3 linked regions of the Canis lupus familiaris genome follow. Each later gene encodes a partner of the first gene's protein in a complex. Links are inferred from orthologs where the notes say so. Each region holds a gene or a part of one and is shown in the gene's direction. Other genes may lie near its edges. The genes, in order: YWHAH, NEDD4L and NUMB.

Region 1 (7,815 bases):
AAAAGGCAGTCTAACACATGGGATTTGCTTGTTCTCCTGAAGAACAGGAGTTGTCTTTTTTTTTTTTTTTTTCTTAAGCTTAAGAAGCAAAGTATTAATTGAATTTGAATTCTTGCTATGAATTAAGAAGTGCAGAACTATGTTAAGTTGTACTTGGGGTATTTTAAGAAATTGCTTGGCACAAGTTTTAAGTACATTTTATAAGCTGATGAGTCCTAACATTTCATTAGCTGGGTTATTGGTAAGATTCCTCCCAGTATCCAGGTTGGAGCCACCTGTCTTCTACCCCACCCCCCCCGGGTGCTCTTTTTGCTCCTGGCTGCAGTGGCTTTTCCCTCGGGGTCGGGGGTGGTGGCACTTCCCTGCCATCGGAACCTGGCATAGCTTCTGAAGCTTTTGGTGCTGCTGCCTCCAGGGATGGTAGCATGCAGTAATGCCATTCAGATGGCTTGTATTTAATCCCTGCCAATTCCTACAAAAATGTTCAGTTTTGTCAAGAGGAAGAAAAGGCAGTCTCTCCATGATACAAAGGTGGCTCTTTTGACTAATGTTAAGCTTTGAGTGGACATTAACTACCTGAACTCAACTGCTCTAAGCTTGAAGTGTAGCTTCTCTTTGGCTTTCTAGAACTGCACCCTCACCCTGGTGAGGACAGGGAGCAGTCTTTCCAGGCCTGGGCAAGTGGTGACAGATGGGTACTTTACCAGCTTGGGACTAGGCAGTCCTCACTTTGAAGGTAGTAAATTGGGAAGAGTCTGCCAAAACTTTCATCCCCTGCCTCATGTTTTTTTTTTTTTTTTAAATAACAGGACTCTGCCAAAGAAGCTTGAAGATTTTATGCTGTGAATATGTTTACCTAATTGTTCCTGAGAATTATTTTCTCCCATTGTAAACTCTTCTATCAAAAGCAGGCTTGTTGGTAGCAAGTGGGTGTGGGTAAAAGTATAAAAGATGGGCTATAAAGGATGGGAGTGCCCTTCAGAAGTAACATTTACCCTGACTTTAGTGATGCGGCCTGGCAGTCCAGGGGTGGCGTTTTTTGTTTGCTCAGTATTACTTTTGAAGTTGAATGTTTCCCAGATTAAGAACTTTAAGTTTCCCAAATAGTCCCTGTGCTATTTTTGGCAGTGGATCTATTTTTACTCACAAACACATAGTTTATTGCCTGGTGAGTTAGTGGGAGGAGGCCCTTAGGGATTTTTGAGTAAGCGAATGGTGTCATAGGAAGATAGATGAGTTAGTAGCCTATCAGGTTATTTGTAACTTAGTACTGCTGTGTAGTCTCAGAGCAGAGGAAATGGGGTGAAATGAGTACCCACCCCCACCCCCTGGCTGGGAGCTGGTGCAGCCAAAGGCAGCAGTATGGTATGGACATCAGTCAGATGGCTGGCCTGGCCTGGAGTCCAATCTTTTTTTTTTTTTTTTTTTTTTCTGGAGTCCAATCCTTAAAGGAAGTGGAGAGATGGGCCTTTTTAAATGGGGACTGGTCTGGTGACTTAAGGTTTTCAGAGACTGTAAGTGGGATTAAGTGGGGTGGGAGGTGGGCAGGCAAACAGGAAGGCAGAAAGGCTGTGAACAGAAGTGAGAAGCCTGTTAGAGTGGTGCAGCCGCATGAACTTAGTGTCTGGAATGGCTGGCTGCCCTGAGGGTAGCTGATGTGTGGCAGAAATGAGGGTGTGTTGAAACTGGTTGGAGTAGAGAGCAGATTGAGAACCACTGGGCAGGTCTGTCTTGAAAATTCTGTCTTGTTTTTGCTTCATGTTCCCAGTTAGAAACCATTTGGAAACTTGAAATTGTAAAGCTGCACTAAATCATCTCCGTAGACTACCGCATGCAGGTGACCATCCAGCTGCTTTAGTATCCGTGTGGTTGGGACTAGTAGTTTTTGTTTCCTTTCCATTGCACTACATTGCCTCCCAGTGTCTGCTGCTCTTAGTGTGTGTCCAGACTATTCCTTCGCTTTCCTACCTCCAGTATGGAATTGGAAATATTGGGAACTGATGCTGACTAATACTAATAAAGGTTATTTGTCCTAGGTATCACCAATCAAGACTGGCTGCAAATCTTGTTTGTTTTAATAGGCCATCTGATTTCGCCTCAGTCTATACTTTTCCAATCTAGGGAAAGCTCAGTTTCCTTTCGTTATCCAGTCAAGTAATGATCTTCCTCCCATAAGTTTCCCTTTCTTAACTGAGTTGTAACTCAAGAGTATTAAAAGTACTATTTAAACGTATCCAGTTTTTTCCTAGTTAGGGCCTGGCTGGGTTCTAAGAACAATGCTTGCTTAGCTGTTAGTCACACTCAGCTGATGCTGATAGTGATTCATTCAGACTGGCAGGAACCCAGATGATTGTTACATAAACACTAATATTCCTAGTAAATGATTTTTCTTGTGAAGGTGTCATACATATTGCCCAGTAGCCTTTTTGGGTAGTTTATTCCTGATGCAGAAGGGCTGCATGAATTCTTGAAACACAGATACAACTAAATTTCATTTACATTGATAACAACCTCATGCCTTCCCACACCTTTTTATTTTGCTCAGGAAAAATGGAATCCTAGAATATTAGAACTGAAGAGGTCCTTGGAAATCATTTAGGCCATTGGCCCTTAGGTTACTTCTGATCCCCAGACAGCGTCATATAGCTAGTTCAGGCTAAACCCCACAGCTTTCTTAGTTTTGTTTTGTTTTTGTTTTTGCTTTTGTTTTAGTAATGATACTGTCCATTGTACAAACACCCTGTGTGATATGTAAAGATATTTCACATATACACTCAATTTTAAAGATACACTCTGGGGAGTTACGTTGATATTTCTTTGTGACAATCTGATAAGCAGCTTTATTAGCCACAGGGTGAAATCTTAGTGACTCCTTATGGATATCATTTGCACTTTTATGTCAAGTGCCCTTAGATACATTTACTGCAGGATCTAAGAAACTCTTAGTTGTGTGCTTGCCTTCTGTTTTACTGAATATTGTCCTGGAAAAAGTGACTCATTTGAGAGGATTCAACAATCTGAGATTTGTCAGAGGATCAAAGTCGGAATTTTGATTGATAAGGGTTCTTTCTTAAAAGACCAAATTAACAAGTATCTATAAAGTCTCTATATTCCCAGTAAACAAATGGGAGTGTTTGAAGAAACTCCCTGGAGGAGAAAACCAATAGGGTTACAGGTCTTCACCTGGATTTGAAGGGAGCGTGGATTTGGGGTTAGAAGATTACCCAGGACTGGGGCAGATAACCTAGAAAAAGTGAGGGGACCACTCACATCTGTGTGAGGAGGAATGAGGAACCTGGTATGTAGGCAGCCCTCCTGGGGATGGGCAGAGGCAGCCTGTGGCCAAAGACCACCCTGAAGAACAAAGTGGGGTTGGGTTGATTGAGTAGGCAGAGGAGGAAAGACAATCCAGGCTGGGGATTTGCAGCAAAAGAGTAGGGGTGCTGGGGCCAGGGAAATAGGAAAATTAGAAGATAAAATTGGTATTTTTATTGGGGAAGGTGTTGCTGGTAGACAATGAAGAATGTGGCCTTTACACATAATGATTATATTTGTTGCTTATGTTCTTGAATTAATTTTTTTGATCTTTTTTAGAATTTCTGATTCTCCACTGCTCAGTCTTTCAATCCATGTTAAAGCATGTCTGTTTTGATATGCTGTTAATAACTTTCTCCCCTGAACCTGGCTTTTCCCCCTGTCCCTCAATTTCAGGAATTTCTTTTTTCTTTGTTGAGTGTTTTATGGTTTCCTAAGAGTTTTCTTTTTTTTTTCTGAAAATTAAAGACCTTTACCGGTAAGTCATAATTAAGGAATTCCCCTACTTTATAGAGGGCAGTTTAGAAAATTCGTGGCTTTCCTGGACCACAGACCCAGGTTTTTCTGATTCTAGGTCTGTATTAGTTTCCTTGGGCTGCCAAAAAATGTACCACACGCTGGGTAGCTTATTTTTTTTTTTTTTTAAGATTTATTTATTTATTTATTCAGAGAGAGAGAGGCAGTGACACAGGCAGAGGGAGAAGCAGGCTCCATGCAGGGAGCCCAATGTGGGACTCGATCCTGGGTCCCCAGGATCACACCCCTGGGCTGCAGGTGGCGCTAAACCGCTGCGCCACCGGGTCTGCCCGCTGGGTAGCTTAAAACAGCAAATTATGCTGTTGCATTTGGGAAGGTTAGAAGTCCAAGATCAAGGTGTCAGCAGGCTGTACTCCTGAAGGCATTAGGGAAGAACCTTTGCCTCTCTCTTAGCTTTTGGTGGCTCTTGATAATCCTTGGTGTTTCTTGGCTGATAGACACATCACTCCAATCTCTGCCTCCATCATCACATGGCATTCTCCCTATGTTTGTGTGTCTCCAAATCTCCCACTCCTTATAAGGGCGCCAGTCACTGGATTTAGGATCTAGCCTAATACAGGATGACCTCATCTTGACTTGATTACATCTGTAGAGGTCCTGTCCCCAATAAGGTCACATTCACAGGTCCAAGGGTTAGTACTTCAGTGTAACATTGGGAGACACAATTCAACAACACAACAAAGTCCAGCGCCCTTAGTATTACATACATAGCTGGCTTGCTTGGAGTTGGCATCATGAACTACCTAAAGAAAGTTACAGCTTGTAAAATTTAACATTTCTCCTTAACATAATTGATGCTTCCATCCTTGATGGCCGGTCAGGGTTTCCTGTTAGGTAGGTCAAAGTAGAGCTTATAGCTGAGGAACTTTGCTTCCTTTGAGCAGCGGCTAGGGACACGTTACTGTCACTAATGATTTGGCAAATGAATTGTACGATCTTAACTCTTGATATAATACCTTTTGCAGAATAACTGAACCTCAGGGGTTTTTCATCCCCCACTAGGTACCACCACAATTTTTCCATAATTGTCTTTATCCCCAAACCTCTGCAAGATGAAGGCAACACCTTAAAAGACCTGAATTATGAATTTCTCAAATCCCTTATCACTGAATATTTTATTTCAAGTATTTATTCTTCTTTTTAGACTACAGTCTTCTTTCAGACAGGATCTATGTCTGACTGGTTTGTCTCTAGCTTGTCTGTGCTGGTTGCTGATGAGGTTCAAAGGAACCTCATCTTTCTAAGATTTTTGGATTTGAATCTTAGTGTTTATCTTTTGGGGATTTTGCAGGTGACAGAGCTCAATGAACCTCTTTCCAATGAAGATCGAAACCTCCTCTCTGTGGCCTACAAGAATGTGGTTGGTGCCAGGCGATCTTCCTGGAGGGTCATCAGCAGCATTGAGCAGAAAACCATGGCTGATGGAAACGAAAAGAAATTGGAGAAAGTTAAAGCTTACCGGGAGAAGATTGAGAAGGAGCTGGAAACAGTGTGCAATGATGTCCTGGCTCTGCTTGACAAGTTCCTCATCAAGAACTGCAATGATTTCCAGTATGAGAGCAAGGTATTTTATCTGAAAATGAAAGGCGATTACTACCGCTACTTGGCAGAGGTAGCTTCCGGGGAGAAGAAAAACAGTGTGGTCGAAGCTTCTGAGGCTGCCTACAAAGAAGCCTTTGAAATCAGCAAAGAGCACATGCAGCCAACGCACCCCATCCGGCTGGGTCTGGCCCTCAATTTCTCCGTGTTCTACTATGAGATCCAGAATGCACCCGAGCAGGCCTGCCTCTTAGCCAAACAAGCCTTCGATGATGCCATAGCTGAGCTGGACACACTAAACGAAGATTCCTATAAGGACTCCACGCTCATCATGCAGTTGCTGCGAGACAACCTCACCCTCTGGACGAGCGACCAGCAGGATGAAGAAGCAGGAGAAGGCAACTGAAGAGTCTTCGGGTCTTAGGCCCTTCCCTTCACCCACCACCCCCCATCATCACTGATTCTTCCTTGCCACAATCACTAAATATCTAGTGCTAAACCTATCTGTATTGGCAGCACAGCTACTCAGAGCTGCTCTCCTGCCCTTTGGGAAGCAGTTTCAGATAAATCTTCATGGGCATTGCTGGATTGATGGTTGCTTTAAGCCCACAGGGGCTCCCTTTTTCCGAATTGTGCAGACAAGTGCGTTCTGAATGAGGCATTCTACTATGCCTGTTGATCTATGTGAAATCCAAGCAAAAGCAATGGGGAAGTTTAGAAAGGAGAGTTAGCCAACATAGGCTACAGTTGATATTTAAATGATCCATTTAAAACAAGCTGATAGTGTTTTGTTAAGCAGTACATCTTGTGCATGCAAAAAATGAATTCACCCCTCCCACCTCTTTCTTCAGCTAATGGAAAACTGTTAAGGGAAGCTGATTAAAAAGAGACCACTTGCTCCTTTCCATCAACTTTATAAGAAACTGTTTAACGTGAGGTTTCAGTAGCGCCTTGTTTTGCCTCTTTAAATTATGATGTGCACAAACCTTCTTTTTCAATGCAATGCATCTAAAGTTTTGATACCTGTAACTTTTTTTTTTTTTTTTTTGGTTGCGATTGTTTAAGAATCATGGATTTATTTTTTGTAACTCTTTGGCTATTGTCCTTGTGTATCCTGACAGCGCCATGTGTGTCAGCCCACGTCAATCAAGATGGGTGATTATGAAATGCCAGACTTCTAAATTAAATGTTTTGGAATTCAGTGGGTAAATAAATGCTGCTTTGGGGATATTCTGTCTATGTGTGGTTTTCATTTCCCCCCCTCTCAAGGAGCTCTCTTACCAGGTTACCATTTTGAATCCTGGTTTTAGTTTCAAGCACCGAAGCATTTTTAGCACAGTAGGTTTTCCTGCTCTCTGATTCCAATACACATTTTGCAGTATACACATAAGACTCATGAGTTTTCAGTTTTCTGTGAAACCATTCCACATGGCCTCTCATCCACTCTTCCTGATAACTGGTGCTTCTAGTATGGAAGCTGAACAGACCAAAATGCTCAGTCTTCCTCTGTACAGCACCTGATCTGGTGAAAGGCCAAACCTTTGTTTAACTTGGGAAGGTGTAGCTTGACCCACCCTACTGAAATGTTGGTTGATATTTAACACTCAAGGTAGATACCGTGTCATACATGTCCTCATTTTCTTCATACCCTTTATTAGATATAATAAAATGGGTTCCTGAAATAAGGTTTAGTTAAAAAAAAAAAAACTTTGAGTATTCTTTAAAGTAGAAGAACTTCCATCTGCACTTAAAAAAGGAAAAGGCTAGACACCTTAAATTCTCTCCCATCTGTCTACCCCAAGTCTTCTCTTTTTTTTTTTTTTAAACTTTTATTTATTTATGATAGTCACACAGAGAGAGAGAGAGGCAGAGACACAGGCAGAGGGAGAAGCAGGCTCCATGCCCCAGGAGCCCGATGTGGGATTCAATCCCGGGTCTCCAGGATCGCGCCCTGGGCTGAAGGCAGGCGCTAAACCGCTGTGCCACCTAGGGATCCAAGGCTTCTCTTGAGGCTTAGCATCCCTAGCTAGACTTCATTCTCTGGTGATAGGGGCTCGAACCCCTCGAATCCCTCGCAGTTCTGCAACTTGGTGCCCAGAACCAAACGTGCTTGTTAAGTGGATTGGTTCAATTTCACAAAGGTGTTAAGATACCTTTCTTAATCTTGACTAAAGCTTGACACTGGATTGGTGAGAATGGCCATGATCCAGTCTCTGTCCTTGAGCTTCGATTGTGGTGGAGCACAGACCTTCTAAGCCTTAGAAGTTTACCCTGTATGCTTATCCTGAAGTAGAGGTATGACCCATGTGCTCCTAACATACTAGAAAGCCTGTTTCAGGTTGTCCTAATTGCTAAAGTGGTTATTGAGTTTCACTTTAGTTAGTAGGTCAGGGTTTTTTTGTTTTTGTTTTTAAGATTTTACTT
Region 2 (7,815 bases), on another chromosome or scaffold:
TCCCCCTCTTTTATACCCTCTCCTGCCCCTGCCCCTACCCCACCCCTGCGTGTCAGCCCCATACTGATGTGTACCGTCTCTTGTCCTGGGGCCACCCTGGAACGTAGCCTCTCACTCCAACGCCTGTGCTTCCACAAACATGCATGGTGTGGACACACCAAAACTGGGATCTCATATACACATCACCTAGCAACCTAGTGTTTTTCACTTGTGGTCCTTCCCCTGGGACCTGTTAATAATTACGTAATACTCGGTGATGGGAATGCACCTCAATTTCTATAATTATCCCCCATCAATGAACATTCAGCTCCACCCCCACCCCCTGGGCACTACACACCATGTTGCGTTAACCATCCTGGTGTACATCTCTTTCCATGGTAGTGCTTTTATTCTTGTAGCATTAATGAACAACCCCTGATTGTCATCTGTGGAACCATGACCCTTTGGTTTAGGAATACATACTGGTTGTATACACACAAATAATACTTTGTATTTGAAAAGTGGTGTCACTTTCCAGCTGGCTAAGCAGAAGCTGTCTCTGAGATAAAAGGAGAGAGAGAGTACAATCCTTCTGGACTTTGCTGTTATATACCTAAAAATACAGAGTTAATGGTATAGTAGGGTTTGAACGAATCTTGGAGAATCTGTAATGGTACCAAACTGATTGTCATCTTTAAAAGCATATTGAAACTTTTACAGTTTGCGCATAATTGATTTATCCATCTTAATGAAATAAATGGAACCACTAGGAAGCTGTAGTTAACTGGCTATTTGGCAGTGCAGAGCACGATAGTATATTTAGATGAAAAGCTGGGAAATTGTTAAATTGAGCTGCCTAGCAGTTTGTCTCTTGATTAATTAACTTGCCTCTTGAGGTCGTATGGAATGCACACGTGAATACACACACACATAGCAGGAGAAATCTGATTTCGGCTCTAGGGCTGGATCTCTTGCACAATCTACCGGGAGAAGCTGAGTCCTGCCTCTTCCCCTGCTGTGTGTGGAGAACAGTGTTAGAGTCACAAATGCAGTTGTTGGCACAAGTTGTTATCCCTGGTCACTTAGAAATCTATAAAGAAATATTTTAATAACACCATATCCCGTAAATGGAACTAGATTGTAGGTTGCCAATTCAATTCTCAATAGAAGGCATAATGAGCGTATTAATCAAAATCCATATTCTCCTCTATACTCTTGGTTCCCAGAAACTGATTAGTCCTATTAACTGGAGCTGTGAGAGGAACCTGGACTGGAGGGTCTGCAGCTTTTGAATCTGATTCTGAGATGAACCATGCACATCATGTTCTTTTAGTTTACGATGTCTCCCCATCAACATCCTTTCCAGGGATTTTGTCACTTTAACCTTATCCTGATGGTTTCCAGAACAGAGCTCTCCGAGCACATATCTGATTTCCATTCCCAAAACCTAACTCAACCGGGAGGAGGAAAACCAACAGATTCCATGTAGCGAGCATTCCACTGAGCCCAAGCAGTTTTAGTTATCAGATAAGCAATAGTAGGTCAAGGATTGATAGCTCATGCTTTGCCAAAAATGCAAACTGACCACTTAGGTTACAGTGTGGGTTCTGACTTAGTTCAGCAGAGTCCAGTTTTTGTAGTGCCTGGATGAAAAGTAGCCTAGAAAGAGCTCTTTGGGATTAGTGCTTCAGCCAGGGAAGGAGGCGGTAAGAGCTTGAGGCTATGGACGAGTTCATCTGTCTTCACTCACGGAAGGATCAGGCCTGCATGTCCAGGTCCGTTCCGCTCCTGTAGTGGCCTCACACCTAGATCCAGAGCCCATAGGGTCTCTCAGTCTTGGAATTCCCATTTCAGGGCCTTCGGGACTTAATCTGGAAAACCATCAAGAAAATAGTTACTGTCGTTTTAGCAGAAAGTCCTCTTACAAATAGTCTTGCAGGGCATGGTGAATGTGTTAGAAATAACCGTTGAGGCAGCTGCTCCGTGGCTCAGTTTCTCTCTGGAACGTGCTATCTAGCTTATGGGGTAGAGTATTGAGCCTCATTAACTGAAGTCCCCAAATTACATGGCAGGATGGTTAAGCGTGCTTTTTCTAGTTCTCGATCCTGCAGGAGACCAGGGGGCGCTCTGTGGCCTCCTTGCCCCAGCACAGTCTTGGTGGTGACTGTCAAAGACAGGGCGCACACAGAGGAGTTGGGCTCAGAGATTGACATCCTCGCCCTGACATCCACCTGGTCAACCACCTGGAGGCTCACAAGATCCTAATTAGGGAAGCCTGTTGCCCCAAAAGAAGTGGCTTCCTTTTGTCACCTCGTGTAAGAGATTATTCCTGAGGTGTGGCCTCTCGCTGCTTTTACATTCTCCCAGGAGCCTTGGTGGCCATAGTTGGCTTGTAATTCTGAGTCCCCGCCCTGAGGGTAGGGGTAGCGCCCTTTTCTCAGTTACAGATCTTATATGCAGCGTCCACATGCCCAGCACTTCTCGGGACAGCACGGACCTCAGACGTCCGTCTCCTTGTCTTCTGAGTCACTGAAACACGCTTGCTGGTCCAGTGTTTCTCCACCCAGACCGCATTTCTCAGACTGCCCCCTACAAGCAAAAGTGTCCCAGGAATCCTTCTGCAATCTAATTTGGACTTTGCAGATCCAGTCGCCCTATACTGAACATGTCTCAAACCCACGAACTGCGTGTTCTTCTGGAATTCTGACCTCACGTTGCCCAGTGGCTTCCCGACTGGGGCCGCTGAGCTGTCCTGGTCGGTCCTCATGACCGTGTGCCCTGGCGCGAATACAGCCGTCCTAGAGAGGAGACTGTATTTTTTTTTTCCTCCCTGAAAGCTGTAGTGGAAGGGCTCTAAGCTGAGGAAGACTTTGGGAGTTAGGAGAGCATCTCTGTGGCAACTCTATTGAGGAAAAAACTATTCAAAGCATCCCTCTCTTGGTGACATTGGACAGTTTAAAATACCTTGAAACTCTCTGTGGCTTGACAGCAAAATCTAGTAACTGAAACAGATTGTACGTTTCTCTTAGGATCATGTTAGCCACGACCCTTTATGTTTAAGACTTCAGGGTTTTACCACTGACTTAGAAGATCTTGGACCTTGTGGCTGTGTGGGGGTCATCTCACAGTAGATTGGAAGCCGTTGGAAATCAATTGCCTTTTTTCCAGACGCTAATGTTTTTGGTACAAGTAAAATTAAGTTACCTGGTCTAGTAACTCTCTGCGTGTACATTACTTTTATTAAACTGATCAAAAAGAAAATGCAGGATATTAAATAATAATGATTTCTTACACAAACAGCCATCAGTGGCCTATGCACACACCACGCCGGGCCTACCTTCAGGCTGGGAAGAAAGAAAAGATGCTAAGGGACGCACATACTATGTCAATCATAACAATCGAACCACAACTTGGACTCGACCTATCATGCAGGTACGCAGATCGTCCTACAACCTAAAATCACAGGCTGTAGAAGCCCAAACGTATGTGAGCTCGGTGCTCCCGAGGTGAATGTATTGTTCTGAAAGAACCCGTGTTTAAGATCATGTTTCTCACAGAGAAGATGGGAACTCTAAGCCTAGTATTTGCCGGAGGAAGAATTCGGTCCTCAAGCCAGTCCACCCCTAGACACGGTTTAGGGAGCCCGTCCCAGGGTGGAGCTTCTCTCCCTTGATTTCTGAGGCTGGCGTTTACGCTGGGCTAGTGATTCATTTCTATTTCCTTTGACTGTACTTCTCGATCGTTGCCCCCATTATTATGTTTAATCATTTTCCTCCACGCTTGAAATAGGCCAGCCCTCTTATTATTGCTGGCTTACGTTGTTTGGGTCCACGCTCCTCATCACTCGCACAGGAGTCCTCCTCCTGCCAAGCTAACTTGTTTTTGCCTCCGAAATAGCTCGCCGAAGACGGTGCGTCCGGATCCGCCACAAACAGTAACAACCACCTAATCGAGCCTCAGATCCGCCGGCCCCGTAGCCTCAGCTCGCCGACCGTAACCTTATCTGCCCCACTGGAGGTGAGAAGGCCTCATCGGCTCACCGGCTCACCCCCTCCCGGGACTTCTCATCTCCTTGCTCATCTTACTTGGGTTTGAGTGGTTGCAGCCCCCTGTCCCCCCCTCCCCTCTCTCTCTGATGGGTCGTGGTGTTGTCGTGCAGCCTTCCTTCATGCTTCTCTGTGCCGCCCGGCTCGCACCCGTGGACTGCCCCCCTCTGATCCCCATTCTCATTCGGCTGCCCCCGCGGCTCCTTGTGCCCGAAGGGGGCGCCCCTCTGCCGGACACTCTCCATCTCTCCTTGTGTTTCGCTCTTGACTTGCACACGAACTCTTGCCGATACCAATGCTTACGTTGCGTTTCCAAACATAGCTGTCGCTTTGATCATTTTTCTTTTCCTTTCGACGGTAGGGCCTGTCACCGTGCGGGCATATGTGTTTCTGATGCACACGCACATCTCGAAGCCATTGCGGGGCATCTGCGGGTGCCTTCTGTTTGTGTGGTGTTGTTGCCATCCCTTCGCATCACAAACGTCAGAGTTAGAGAAGCCAGAGAGCAAGTGTGTGAAGTTCTGAGCTTGACGGTGTCTCAGACCTAGCTGCGGGCCCGTTCCCTGGGTCTGCGATGCTGCTGGCTGGGAGCCGATGGGGTCTGTTCCAAACTGGGATGGGAGTGCCGGGGGGTAGCAACCTGCTGGTCCGGACGGCTGTCTCTGTTGGTACGGGTTTTGCTTTCTGTGCTCTAAAAATTGCCAACCCCTTCTTCATTAGACTGTGAGCTCATTAAGAGCAGGGGCATGTGTTTCTCCACCCTCTGTAAAATTTCCATCCGTAACGTTCAATACAGAACAATACTTGGGGTGCGCACTGAATAGCTGTCCACGGACCTTGGGTATAAGTACTTAATATTGTCATGTGTTTAACCAACCAGAAAACTTTAAAGTTAGATGGGTTGAAAAGTAGATGAATGACAGAAACGGGTTTTAGAGCTTCTCCCTTGTACCTCTTCAGAGAGCAGTGTCCCTGTGTACCCAGGTACATTTTGACCCTCCCCCCGGAATAGCAGCTGGTAAGAGTTCTAATGCTCGTTATTATTCCTTAGGGTGCCAAGGATTCGCCCATACGTCGGGCTGTGAAAGATACCCTTTCCAATCCACAGTCCCCACAGCCATCACCTTACAACTCCCCCAAACCACAACACAAAGTCACACAGAGCTTCCTGCCGCCCGGCTGGGAAATGAGGATAGCGCCCAACGGCCGGCCCTTCTTCATTGACCATAACACAAAGACTACAACGTGGGTAAGGCTGTGCTTTTATTTGGTTCCATTTTCATCATGAGGTCTGGCATTGCTTCCTGGATTTCCTAGTTCTCGGAGAGGAATTTCACTGAGCCGAAGCATGGCCCCAGGGGACCTCCTCGGCCTACATCTGGACTCTGCACATCTGGGCCGGTGGGGGGAGGGTGGCTTCTGGGCGCAGGCTCGTGGCTACCTCTGGGCTTGGTGCCAGGCTGGGTTCCTTTTCTTCGTAGGACCCCTGGAAAGTTCTAGTCCTGACAGTTTACCATATTGGGAAGAAAGGTGTAGTGGCTCCCCAGGGCCAGGAATTCGATGTCCCTGCTTCATTTTCCATGATGCTGTAACTTTGTTAGGGGGTCCTAATATTTTTTTAATCATTTCTCCTCATCAGTTTCTTTTTGCATTTCTATTGACATTATCATCTTTGATTTGTCCTTGTCATCTTCACTGTTCACGTCAGATTCGTGTTTTACACTCCTGTGCTCTGTCTCATTCCTTTAATTATGGGTGGAGAGATGTACTGAGGACTTTGGTTGTACATTTAATAGCTTTTTTGTGTGTGAACATTTTGTCAAAACTGATTTTTCTGATCGTGTTGCTCCTCCATGTGGCGCTGAATCCTATAGGAGAAAGGATCTGTGTTGTATTAGTGAGCACGATGAGAGTAGTCAGAGGTGCATACGCATCTCTCTCCATGTCTGGGTCAGTTCTTCATTCCTCCAGCTAAATTAGTGGTGTCTGTCTTAGCAGAGCGTGCAGTTCTCTTTTAGAAGCCAGTGGTATGTTTCTGCTGTGTGATCTCTAGACTTATGACCAAACCAAACTCGGTATTCTTGTTTCTATTTCTGATGCTATGGGAGGTTTGCTCTTCCTGTCGCTTGTATCCCTGTCTGATTCTCTGGGTACAGAGCTTAACTCTGCCCTTCTGTCATCTGTGCTGCTTGCTCAGAACTGACGGTGTGTGAAAGCTGGTTGAGTCCGGGCAATTGTCCCTGGCCCAGCCATTTGGTCTTGGGCTAGCAGCGAACACATGCTTTGGACTCCCATTTCTAGTGAAGATACCAAGCGTGCACAGTTGACAGAACGGTAGTATTGTGTAAGAAAGAGGCCTGGACCAACGTGGCCTGGACTTGTGTGTTCCTTTAGTCCCTAACGGGCTCACCCTCTGAAATCCAGTGGATGGTGCTACAACATGTCTCCACGATGACATTCTCTGTATTTGGGGCAAGGCTATGCCTTTTATCGCAGGGCATCCAGCATCCTTGGCTCCTGCCACTGAAGGCTGACGGCCACCATTCCTCCCCAGCCCCTCACCACCATAGGGATAACCAAAAATGCCCCCCATGGCCTCACTTATTATTGAGAACCACTCTAAGAGTTCTTCCTCTTCTGAAGTAAGGGGGAATTTATCATTGAGATCCGGCAACACTCATTTAGTAAACTCATAACTACTCCTAAGGCATATACTAACGCATCGCTTTGTTGGATGCGCCTTTTCACCTGAAGATCATATTTACAGGATGGTGGGCAGGGTTAGGCAGAAAGTTAGACAGCCCTTTGGAAAATACAGTAATAAAGATTGGATTTTAGCTCCTTCCCTGCCCCACCCCCCCGAGGACTCAAAGCCTGCGGCGGTCCTGCTGGTGTTGTACTGTTGGCTCTCTAGCCCTCTGCCCGAAATGGGAGCTCCAGAAATAGGGTGAATGTCGGAGGAGATGGATTAGCGTATGGAGCCACTGTGGCTTGCCAGCATAAGCTGCGATTGGAGTCATTTGAACTAGCTTAGCAGTCAGGGCTCCTAACCTTTTCACCATCCTTCACGCCACAAGTGCAGTGTAATTACAGCTGGGCAGGTTTTATTTTAAACAGCACCAGCTTTATTTATTGCCTGCATCGTTGCTGAATGAAACCCAGTTTGAATTTCCAGTTGCCCCTTTCCACCGGGATCCTCGCTGTTGACTCATGGACTCATTTAACATTTGAGTTTGTCAAACCAATATTTTGTTGCTACTGCTGCTGCTGTGGAAAATCCTTAGGGTAACAACTGGAAATTCCACCAGTGACTACCCTTCCTCACTCATCTCAGATGTGCTGGCACAGCTGCGTCACGCCTTCTAGACAAAGGCCTGTGCAGAGGAAGGCGGACTCCAAACCTGCCTGTTTATTTTGATATAAGATGGAGGGAAGCGTAAAGGCAATTTTCAGCTTGGAATCTGTTTGGAGTTGGTTTGGGGTTTGCTCTGTGTTATGTGTGTTTAAGAGAACAGCATAGCTAGCTATTCTTAGAATGTGAGCTTTATCATGGAAACAGGAAGAGAAAACTGGTAGGACAGGTTGAGAGTCCTGAAAATACTAGCCTTGCCTCCATCAGCCTGTGTGCCTTTGCTTCCTACGTTAGCCAGCAGCATGAAAAGATACAGGCCGGCATTTCCCTTGGATCCATTGAGAGGGGGAAATTCGCTTTGAAGTCTATTTATAAAACCCAGCCTTTCACACACACCAGTAATGCAGGCAGCGTGCCAGCATCCTTTCTGGGACAAAA
Region 3 (7,815 bases), on another chromosome or scaffold:
CCCACAGAATTAAGACAGAATTCTTCAGCAAGCACACAAGGCCCTCCATGACTAGGCCTTTCCTACTCTCCCACTGCTCCTTGCTCACCCATCCCACTCTCAAGGCATACTGAAGTATTTATAGAGTCCAGACTTGTCACATTGTTTGCTTGTTTTCTTCCATGTTCTGTGCTGCTGCTGCTGCCTATCATATCCACTACTTCTGTCACTTCCCTGCATCCCTACCCCTACCTCATGCATCTAGAAAAATTATTTCAGTATCTACTTTGATCTTTTCCTTCGAATAACCTTCCCGATTCCACAAATAGATGTGACCATGCCTTCTTTCTGACATCATTATACACTGTTTTCAGCTCTACTATAACACTTACTACTGTCTTATTTATTTTTTATCTAAGTGTCACCTTTCAGTGGACTGTCAACTCTTAAGTATTTCTACTGCCTGGCATGTAATAGGCTCTTATCAGATACCTAGTTACGGTGGAGATGATGATGTTCATTTAAATAAGGCCATGCCTTCCATATGGAGGAGCACAGGGCTTAGACACATACAGAGGAGAATGGTAGATATTTCTTTATCCTCTTCTGCCTTTCTCTAGAGGCTGCTGTTCCAATTTTACTACCAGATTCCTTTTGGTTTCTACTTTTTATGATCTGATACCTGTTCTTAGCCTTTATTTTGCCTTCATTTTATTTTGCTTGTATCCTTGGAGCAATTGAAGAGACAGGAAGCTGTTAAATTACCATTACAGAGTCCCACTGTCCAATTTTCATTCCATAACAGGAGAAGTCATATATTAGCTTGTTCCCACATGATTCTTGTGTGCCGAAAGAAGTCTTTTTCAGCCAGTAGAAATAATTCATGTAATAATATTAGTATTTTTTTAATCCTATGTTCCCCAAAATGTCTCCATGCATTTAATATCAAATTAAAAACTAAACTAGCTCTGTGTTAATCCTAAGAGAAGAAATCATGGTCTTTAAAGATTATTAAAGGAATAATGAAGACTTCTTGGGTGTTTAACATGAAAATTTCAGGTGACTAAGGGTTCTGCTATACACATTGGAGTCAAAGGATAGGCCAGCATCTCAATTAGGCCTATGTATTACTTTCTACTGTAAATAAATTTGTAGAAGCTACTTGTGGTGTAACTCCTTATGTATTTAATATTTATCTGACTCTTGGTTTTCTTGGTTAATTTTTTAAAGGGGTGAAGAATCTACTTATGAATGCTTTGCCCTTTGTGGAATGTGATATCTTGGTTTTGAGTCCACCTGTCCCTTCCCTTTTACTTAATTTTATCTTATTGTTTGCATTGTGTTTCTAAAATAATGGCTTTGGCTTGTTTTTTCCTGAATGTTTCTGCAGTTTGGTTTGAGTATCTGGCTTTGGGTACCCCTCCTGAACTTGGACTCCATCTGTACTTGTGACTTTTGGAAGGCAGAAGTCAGTGTTTTCTATAGAAGATGACATTTTTTTTTTAATATTATATATGTGTGTCTCCCCCTTCCTTTTTTTTGCTTTCTCTTTAAAAGACTGGAAAAAAAGCAGTTAAGGCAGTCCTGTGGGTATCAGCAGATGGACTCAGAGTTGTGGATGAAAAAACTAAGGTAAACATTTTATAAGCTTAAATATTACTGCTCATGTTTGTTTGTTTTATCCCTAATGATCAAATATAATGTTGCTAAGCTGCTGTAGTTATTCTGTAGCCTTTCACTTTGTCCAATCTTCTGAGATACTAGTGTTTAGGAAATAAATTTAGTTATTCATTTACCTTATGAAAAATAGAATTCTCTCAACATTTTTATTCTAAATGACAGCATGTTTAGTGTAGTAAGCATTTGCATTTAATGTTAAGATTTTATTCTTACACATTTTAAGAAAATGTTTATCCCCCACAAAGTTGATGTAAAACATGATGGGCCTTTTATAAAGTTAAAAAAACAAAAAACAATATCACATCTGAAATTTCTTTTTGTTCCTTGATAAAGGGAACTATGTTCTTAGAAAGTGGTATTTGAAATTATTAACCTGCTGTTTAACTAAAAACAATTTAAGGGAAATCTTAAGGGCTAGTAAATGGTTCATCTAGTTTTACTTAGAATCTACACAGTGCTCACTTCAGCAGCACATATACTTAGAACCTATACGATATCTCATATCATAGATGGCATTTTGCATTTTAAAGAAAGTTATCCTGTGTGCCTAAAGACAGAGACATAGACTCTGACCTTAGAGAGCATCAAGTGTTATATAAACACATTTAATTAATAATTAAAATTTCCTAAGAGACCTAAAGCCTGGAGAAATCTTAACAAGAAGGCAATTTTTCAAAAAAATTCATATGTCACTGAAAGGAGGAGAGAGTCTGGCAGGTAGGTAAAGAGCAGTTTTGATGGGTAACTTATCTGATAAATTTTAAGTGACTTATTTTATTTTATTATTTTATTTTATTTTATTTTATTTTATTTTATTTTATTTTATTTTTTGTATAAATTTATTTTTTATTGGTGTTCAATTTGCCAACATATAGAATAACACCCAGTGCTCATCCCATTAAGTGCCCCCCTCAGTGTCCGTCACCCAGTCACCCCCCGCCCCCCACCCACCTCCCTTTCTACCCATCCCTGTTCGTTTCCCAGAGTGAGGAGTCTCTCATGTTCTGTCTCCCTTTCTGATATTTCCCACTCATTTTTTCTCCTTTCCCCTTTATTCCCTTTCACTATTTTTTATATTCCCCAAATGTATGAGACCATATAATGTTTGTCCTTCTCTTTTTTTTTTTTTTAATTTTTTTTTAAGATTTTATTATTTATTTATTCATGAGAGACACAGAGAGAGAGAGAGAGAGAGGCAGAGACACAGGCAGAGGGAGAAGCAGGCTCCATGCAGGGAGCCCGATGTGGGACTCGATCCCGGGACTCCAGGATCACATCCTGGGCTGAAGGCGGCGCTAAACCGTTGAGCCACCCAGGCTGCCCCTGTTTGTCCTTCTCGATTGACTTATTTCACTCAGCATAATACCCTGCAGTTCCATCCATGTTGAAACAAATGGTGGGTATTTGTCGTTTCTAATGGCTGAGTAATATTCCATTGTGTACATAGACCACATCTTCTTTATCTATTCATCTTTCGATGGACACCGAAGCTCCTTCCACACTTTGGCTATTGTGGACATTGCTGCTGGAAACATCGGGGTGCAGGTGTCCCGGTGTTTCACTGCATCTGTATCTTTGGGGTAAATCCCCAGCAGTGCAATTGCTGGGTCGTAGGGCAGGTCTATTTTTAACTCTTTGAGGAACCTCCACACAGTTTTCCAGAGAGGCTGCACCAATTCACATTCCCACCATTTTTTTTTTCATTTTAAGTGACTTAATATAGTTGTGTTAGTTCTTTTGACCTTCTATCTAAGGCCCTTTTTTTTTTAAGTTCAAGATGTGGTAGTCTTAAATGTACATCATCATCATCATCATTATTATTATTACTACTACTACTACTATTATTGGAAACAGTGAGCATTTAGCTTGGCGTTAAGAACTTGCATAGTTTTCTTTAGTGTTTTGGATGAAATGTGTTGTACTTGGAGGCTGTTTTGTTTTGTACCAGTTCAAAAGTCATGTTGCCCCCTGGTGGCTACTTATAGCATTGGTACTAATTAGCTTGGTTCTTTCCACATTTTGTGACAATAGTAATTGGTGACTTCTCACCCTTAGGCCCACCATGAATGGAAAAGAAATTTTGCAATGTATATAATCTATAAAGGGCTCATATTTAGAATATATAAAGAACTCCTACATATCAATAAGAAAAATGACAGACAATTCTAAAGACTTGAAGGATCATTTTGCTAAAGAGGAAATTCACAGTAACCAAGATTATGCAAAATAAAATCATAATGAGCCTCCAGAATTGCAAAATTTTAAAAATTAGCTAGTTTGTGGAGCAACAGAAATTCTCATAGTGATGCTTTATAAAAGCCATTTTGTTTGATTGTTTTAGCACTTAAAGTCCCACCTCAGTATCTAGGGATTCTTGGCTGTTGGAATATCACATAAAAGAGTCTCAGAGCCTCAAGACTTTAAAAACCATATTGTGGGAGCACCTGGTGGCTCAGTCAGTTAGGCAGCTACCTTTCAGCTCAGGTCATGACCCCAGGGTTCCCTGCTCAGTGGGTAGTCTGTTTCTCCCTGTCCCTCTGCCCCTCCCCCCCATGCACACGCACATTCTCTCAAATAAATAAAATCCTTAAAATAAATAAATAATGAGAAACATTTTGTGTAATGTTTATACTGTGAATATACATTGCCTTTCAGTAAATATATAAAAAAAGTCACACTCACAATTAAATAATCAGTAAGTTAATATAAGTTACATGGGAATTGGATGAAATATATTGATTTACATATACTATCAAATTGAACATGGAATGTACTATGATAAAAAATAGTAAAAATCAGCAAGCATGTATTTTAGAACATGAAGTAAGAGAGGCATCTAGGCAATGTGCCCCTTGGGATCTCTCCTACATCAGATTCTTAGTATACAGACTACTAGCCTCAGATCTAGTTATTTCATAGTCTCAATGCATTAGTTTTAGAGACTATATTGTGAAGTGAACATCCTGTGTTTATTCTGAGAAATTTGAATAACCTTGTAAATCCTCTATTCCTTTGTGCTTCCCTTTTTCTAGGACCTCATAGTTGACCAGACAATAGAAAAAGTTTCTTTCTGTGCCCCAGATAGGAACTTTGATAGAGCCTTCTCTTACATATGTCGTGATGGCACTACTCGGCGCTGGATCTGTCATTGCTTCATGGCTGTCAAGGACACGGTGAGTCCACAGTGTAGATTTCATCATAACTAACCTCAGCTAGCCAAACTCCCCCTGGGTTGGCTCAGCCAAGCAGTTTCCACTACATTTTTTTTTTTTTTTTTTTACAGCACTTGGAAAGTGCCTAAACGAGCCTGCTTTCATTCCTTTTATTCAGGTAATTCACACTCTTGGTGTGACCCTGCAGCTCAGAGAGCAAGGTGATTAGCTGAGATCCAGGGTCATTAAAAAAAATAAAAGTGCTCTGGTGAGGGTGGCTGCTAAACTTTACTTGAAACTTTTCATTGTTAGAACTATTTTCAAGGGAGGCCTGGGTGGCTCCGTGGTTGGCTTTGCCTTTGGCTCAGGGTGTGATCCTGGAGTCCTGGGATCGAGTCCCACATCGGGCTCCCTGCATGGAGCCTGCTTCTCCCTCTGCCTGTGTCTCTGCCTCTCTCTCTGTGTGTGTCTCTCATGAATAAATAAATAAAATCTTTAAAAAATATGTATTTTCAAGATGCTTATGTATATTTGTTTGCCAATGCATCTGGGTAAAAGATATTGACATTAAAGGTGCTTATAAATATATTTGCAGAGGAATTCTACAAATGAAAGAACTGAGTTGGAATATATTTTTCAGTTAATTGAAAAATAGAAATACTGGAGTGCCTGGCTGGCTGAGTCTGTGGAACATGCAATTCTTGGGGTCATGAATTCAAGCCCCATTTTGGGGGTAGAGATTACTTTAAAAAAAAAAAATTCTAAATTATGGTACAATGAAGTATGCCAGAAATTATTGCATAGTAGAAATTTTTGTTTAGAAATAGGGAACAAGTAGAGGCACCTGGATGGCTCAATTGGTTAAGCATCTGCCTTCAGCTCTGGTCATTATCCTGGGATCAAGCCCTTAGGCTTCCTGTCCGGGGGGGCAGTCTGCTTCTCCCTTTGTTCCTCCCCCAACAGGCTTACTCTCTTAAATAAATAAATCTTTTTTAAAAAAGAGAGAGAATAGTTAACCTATCATCTTTCATGTAAATTACCCAAAATTCTGACATAAAAGACAAGTCTCTCAGATGGTGATGATCTTAACTATAGAAGAACATGAGTGTGTAACTGTAATTACTGAGTTTTTTGAAGTCCAGGTAGAGTAAGGCAGGATAGTCATACCTGAAGGCTACAATAAACTTAAAAACTCTTGCCTGGGTTTATCTGAAAGGGAAGTAGTGGCTATACTCTAAAATTCACCAAAATGTTAATCAAAGCTCTTTGAAGACAGTGGTATAAACTGTTAAGAGTCCAGGACCTGACACAGATCTGGGTTTCAGGCCTGGTTCTGGTTCTTACTAACTGTGTGATTTGGGACAAATTAGTTAACAATCCTTTTTTTTTTTTTTTTTTTTTTAAGATTTTATTTATTTATTCATGAGAGACACAGGCAGAGGGAGAAGCAGGCTCCATGCCGGGAGCCCGATGCAGGACTTGATCCCTTGATCCCAGAACTTCAGAATCACGCCCTGAGCCTGAGTGGAAGGCAGACACTCAACCGCTGAGCCACTCAGGCCACCCAGGTGTCTCTAATTAACATTCTTTAGGCCTTAGTTTCCACTTCCATAAAATGGAGATAATAGTTGTGAAGACTAAATTGGGGACACTTCAGAGTTTTTAAAAAATTCAGGGGGTCTCAGCTGGGGTTTGGGAAGGATCTGTTGTCAAGAACTTCTGCCCTAGGCCTAGGAAAAATAATAAACTTCTTTGGGCGTAGCTCTGTTCTTGTAGTAAAGCTGTACAAATGCAGACAGGTTCTAAAACTTCAGTACTCCCTCCTAGTTCATGCTTCAGTGCCCTACCCTTAATAGCATCCTCCTAAGAAGTCAGAAACTCATGTGGATGAATAAAAATAACTCTGTCAGTTTTTAAACAGGCAGTTATGTGAAATCTTACAGTTTACATTCAAGTGACAAAAGTCATTTCAGACATTACTTCCTATGCTATCTGATATTGGTATATGAAATTCAGGGAAGTTAACTCGCTCAGATCCATATGTAGGAGCAGCTGTCTACATGGTGTGATTTTGAAAATTCCACAAAGGGCTCCCTGTTCTCAAATATCTCTTCTCACTGTTAGTGATGCCAACAGTTACTATACCATCTCTCACTGTTTTTAATTTCACAATTAGGGATAGGGTTTAAAATACAGATAACCCTGGTAAAAATAACCCTTTGAGTTTATTAAATTTACTTCTGGTTATCCAGCGTATCTTTAAAACAATATTTAGTTTCTATAAGCTCTTGTCCCCTCCCACGCACAAACAAATAATTTTTATCGGTTTAATTCCTTTATAAATAGGAGTGTGGGAAAAAAACCTGCTTTAACTTTTCCCCATGTGTGGTTGAGAGGGAATGTTGGGGTAAGAGAGAACTAGAAGATAGGGAGGGGAAAGGGGAAAAGCATCAAAGCGATGAGGGCCTAGAATGGGGAAGGAGCCTTAGGGAGGGGAGCATTTAGAAAAGGGAGACTGAGAAAGCTAAGCTTTCCTTTTTATAATTCCTGTGTCATCTCTGGGGTGTATTTAGTTATCCACAGTTTTAAGTTTGCATCTTTTGTTCCTAGATATGTTAACATTTTTTAGGCTCCTAAAACTTGCCCTGCCTTTCCAGGAGTTTCTTAGAAATGCTTGATACTTATTATCACTGTTCCCCTAAATGGCAAATGCAGGATTTATGTCAAGATTTAGGGCTTCAGGGCAGCCCGGGAGCCCAGGTGGCTCAGCGGTTTAGTGCCGCCTTTGGCCCAGGGTGTGATCCTGGAGTCCTGGGATCGAGTTCCGCATCAGGCTCCCTGCATGGAGCCTTCTTCTCCCTCTGCCTGTGTCTCTGCCTCTCTCTGTGTGTGTCTCTCATGAATAAATAAAATATTTTTTTTAAAAGGTTGGGGGACACCTGGGTGGCTCAATGGTTGAGCACCTGCCTTCGGCTCAGGGCGTGATCCTGGAGTCCCGGAATCA

The links.
Region 2: the proteins of YWHAH (region 1) and NEDD4L are in contact, whole or in part, in a crystal structure (PDB 7NMZ), measured with the Homo sapiens proteins. The link is inferred for Canis lupus familiaris from reciprocal best matches to the Homo sapiens genes YWHAH and NEDD4L. Residues at the interface, in NP_003396.1 of Homo sapiens: Arg12, Glu15, Asn39, Asn43, Leu44, Ser46, Val47, Lys50, Arg57, Lys125, Arg132, Tyr133, Gly174, Leu177, Asn178, Val181, Tyr184, Glu185, Leu221, Leu225, Asp228, Asn229, Leu232, Trp233; in NP_001138439.1 of Homo sapiens: Pro444, Arg445, Ser446, Leu447, Ser448, Ser449, Pro450, Thr451, Val452, Thr453, Leu454, Ser455.
Region 3: the proteins of YWHAH (region 1) and NUMB are in contact, whole or in part, in a crystal structure (PDB 5YQG), measured with the Mus musculus proteins. The link is inferred for Canis lupus familiaris from reciprocal best matches to the Homo sapiens genes YWHAH and NUMB. Residues at the interface, in NP_035868.1 of Mus musculus: Arg57, Arg132, Tyr133, Leu177, Asn178, Val181, Glu185, Ile222, Leu225, Asn229; in NP_001129547.1 of Mus musculus: Gln274, Gly275, Ser276, Phe277.

What each region holds. Positions count from the first base shown.
Region 1 is NC_049247.1:25,199,768-25,207,582, forward strand, and holds the end of YWHAH (14-3-3 protein eta), read left to right. Parts: intron 1-5,143; coding exon 5,144-5,797; 3' UTR 5,798-6,621; downstream 6,622-7,815. UniProt on the Homo sapiens protein: Adapter protein implicated in the regulation of a large spectrum of both general and specialized signaling pathways. Binds to a large number of partners, usually by recognition of a phosphoserine or phosphothreonine motif.
Region 2 is NC_049222.1:17,783,708-17,791,522, reverse strand, and holds part of NEDD4L (E3 ubiquitin-protein ligase NEDD4-like), read left to right. Parts: intron 1-3,279; coding exon 3,280-3,411; intron 3,412-3,876; coding exon 3,877-3,996; intron 3,997-5,076; coding exon 5,077-5,274; intron 5,275-7,815. UniProt on the Homo sapiens protein: E3 ubiquitin-protein ligase that mediates the polyubiquitination of lysine and cysteine residues on target proteins and is thereby implicated in the regulation of various signaling pathways including autophagy, innate immunity or DNA repair.
Region 3 is NC_049229.1:46,934,839-46,942,653, reverse strand, and holds part of NUMB (protein numb homolog), read left to right. Parts: intron 1-1,536; coding exon 1,537-1,611; intron 1,612-4,691; coding exon 4,692-4,832; intron 4,833-7,815. UniProt on the Homo sapiens protein: Regulates clathrin-mediated receptor endocytosis. Plays a role in the process of neurogenesis.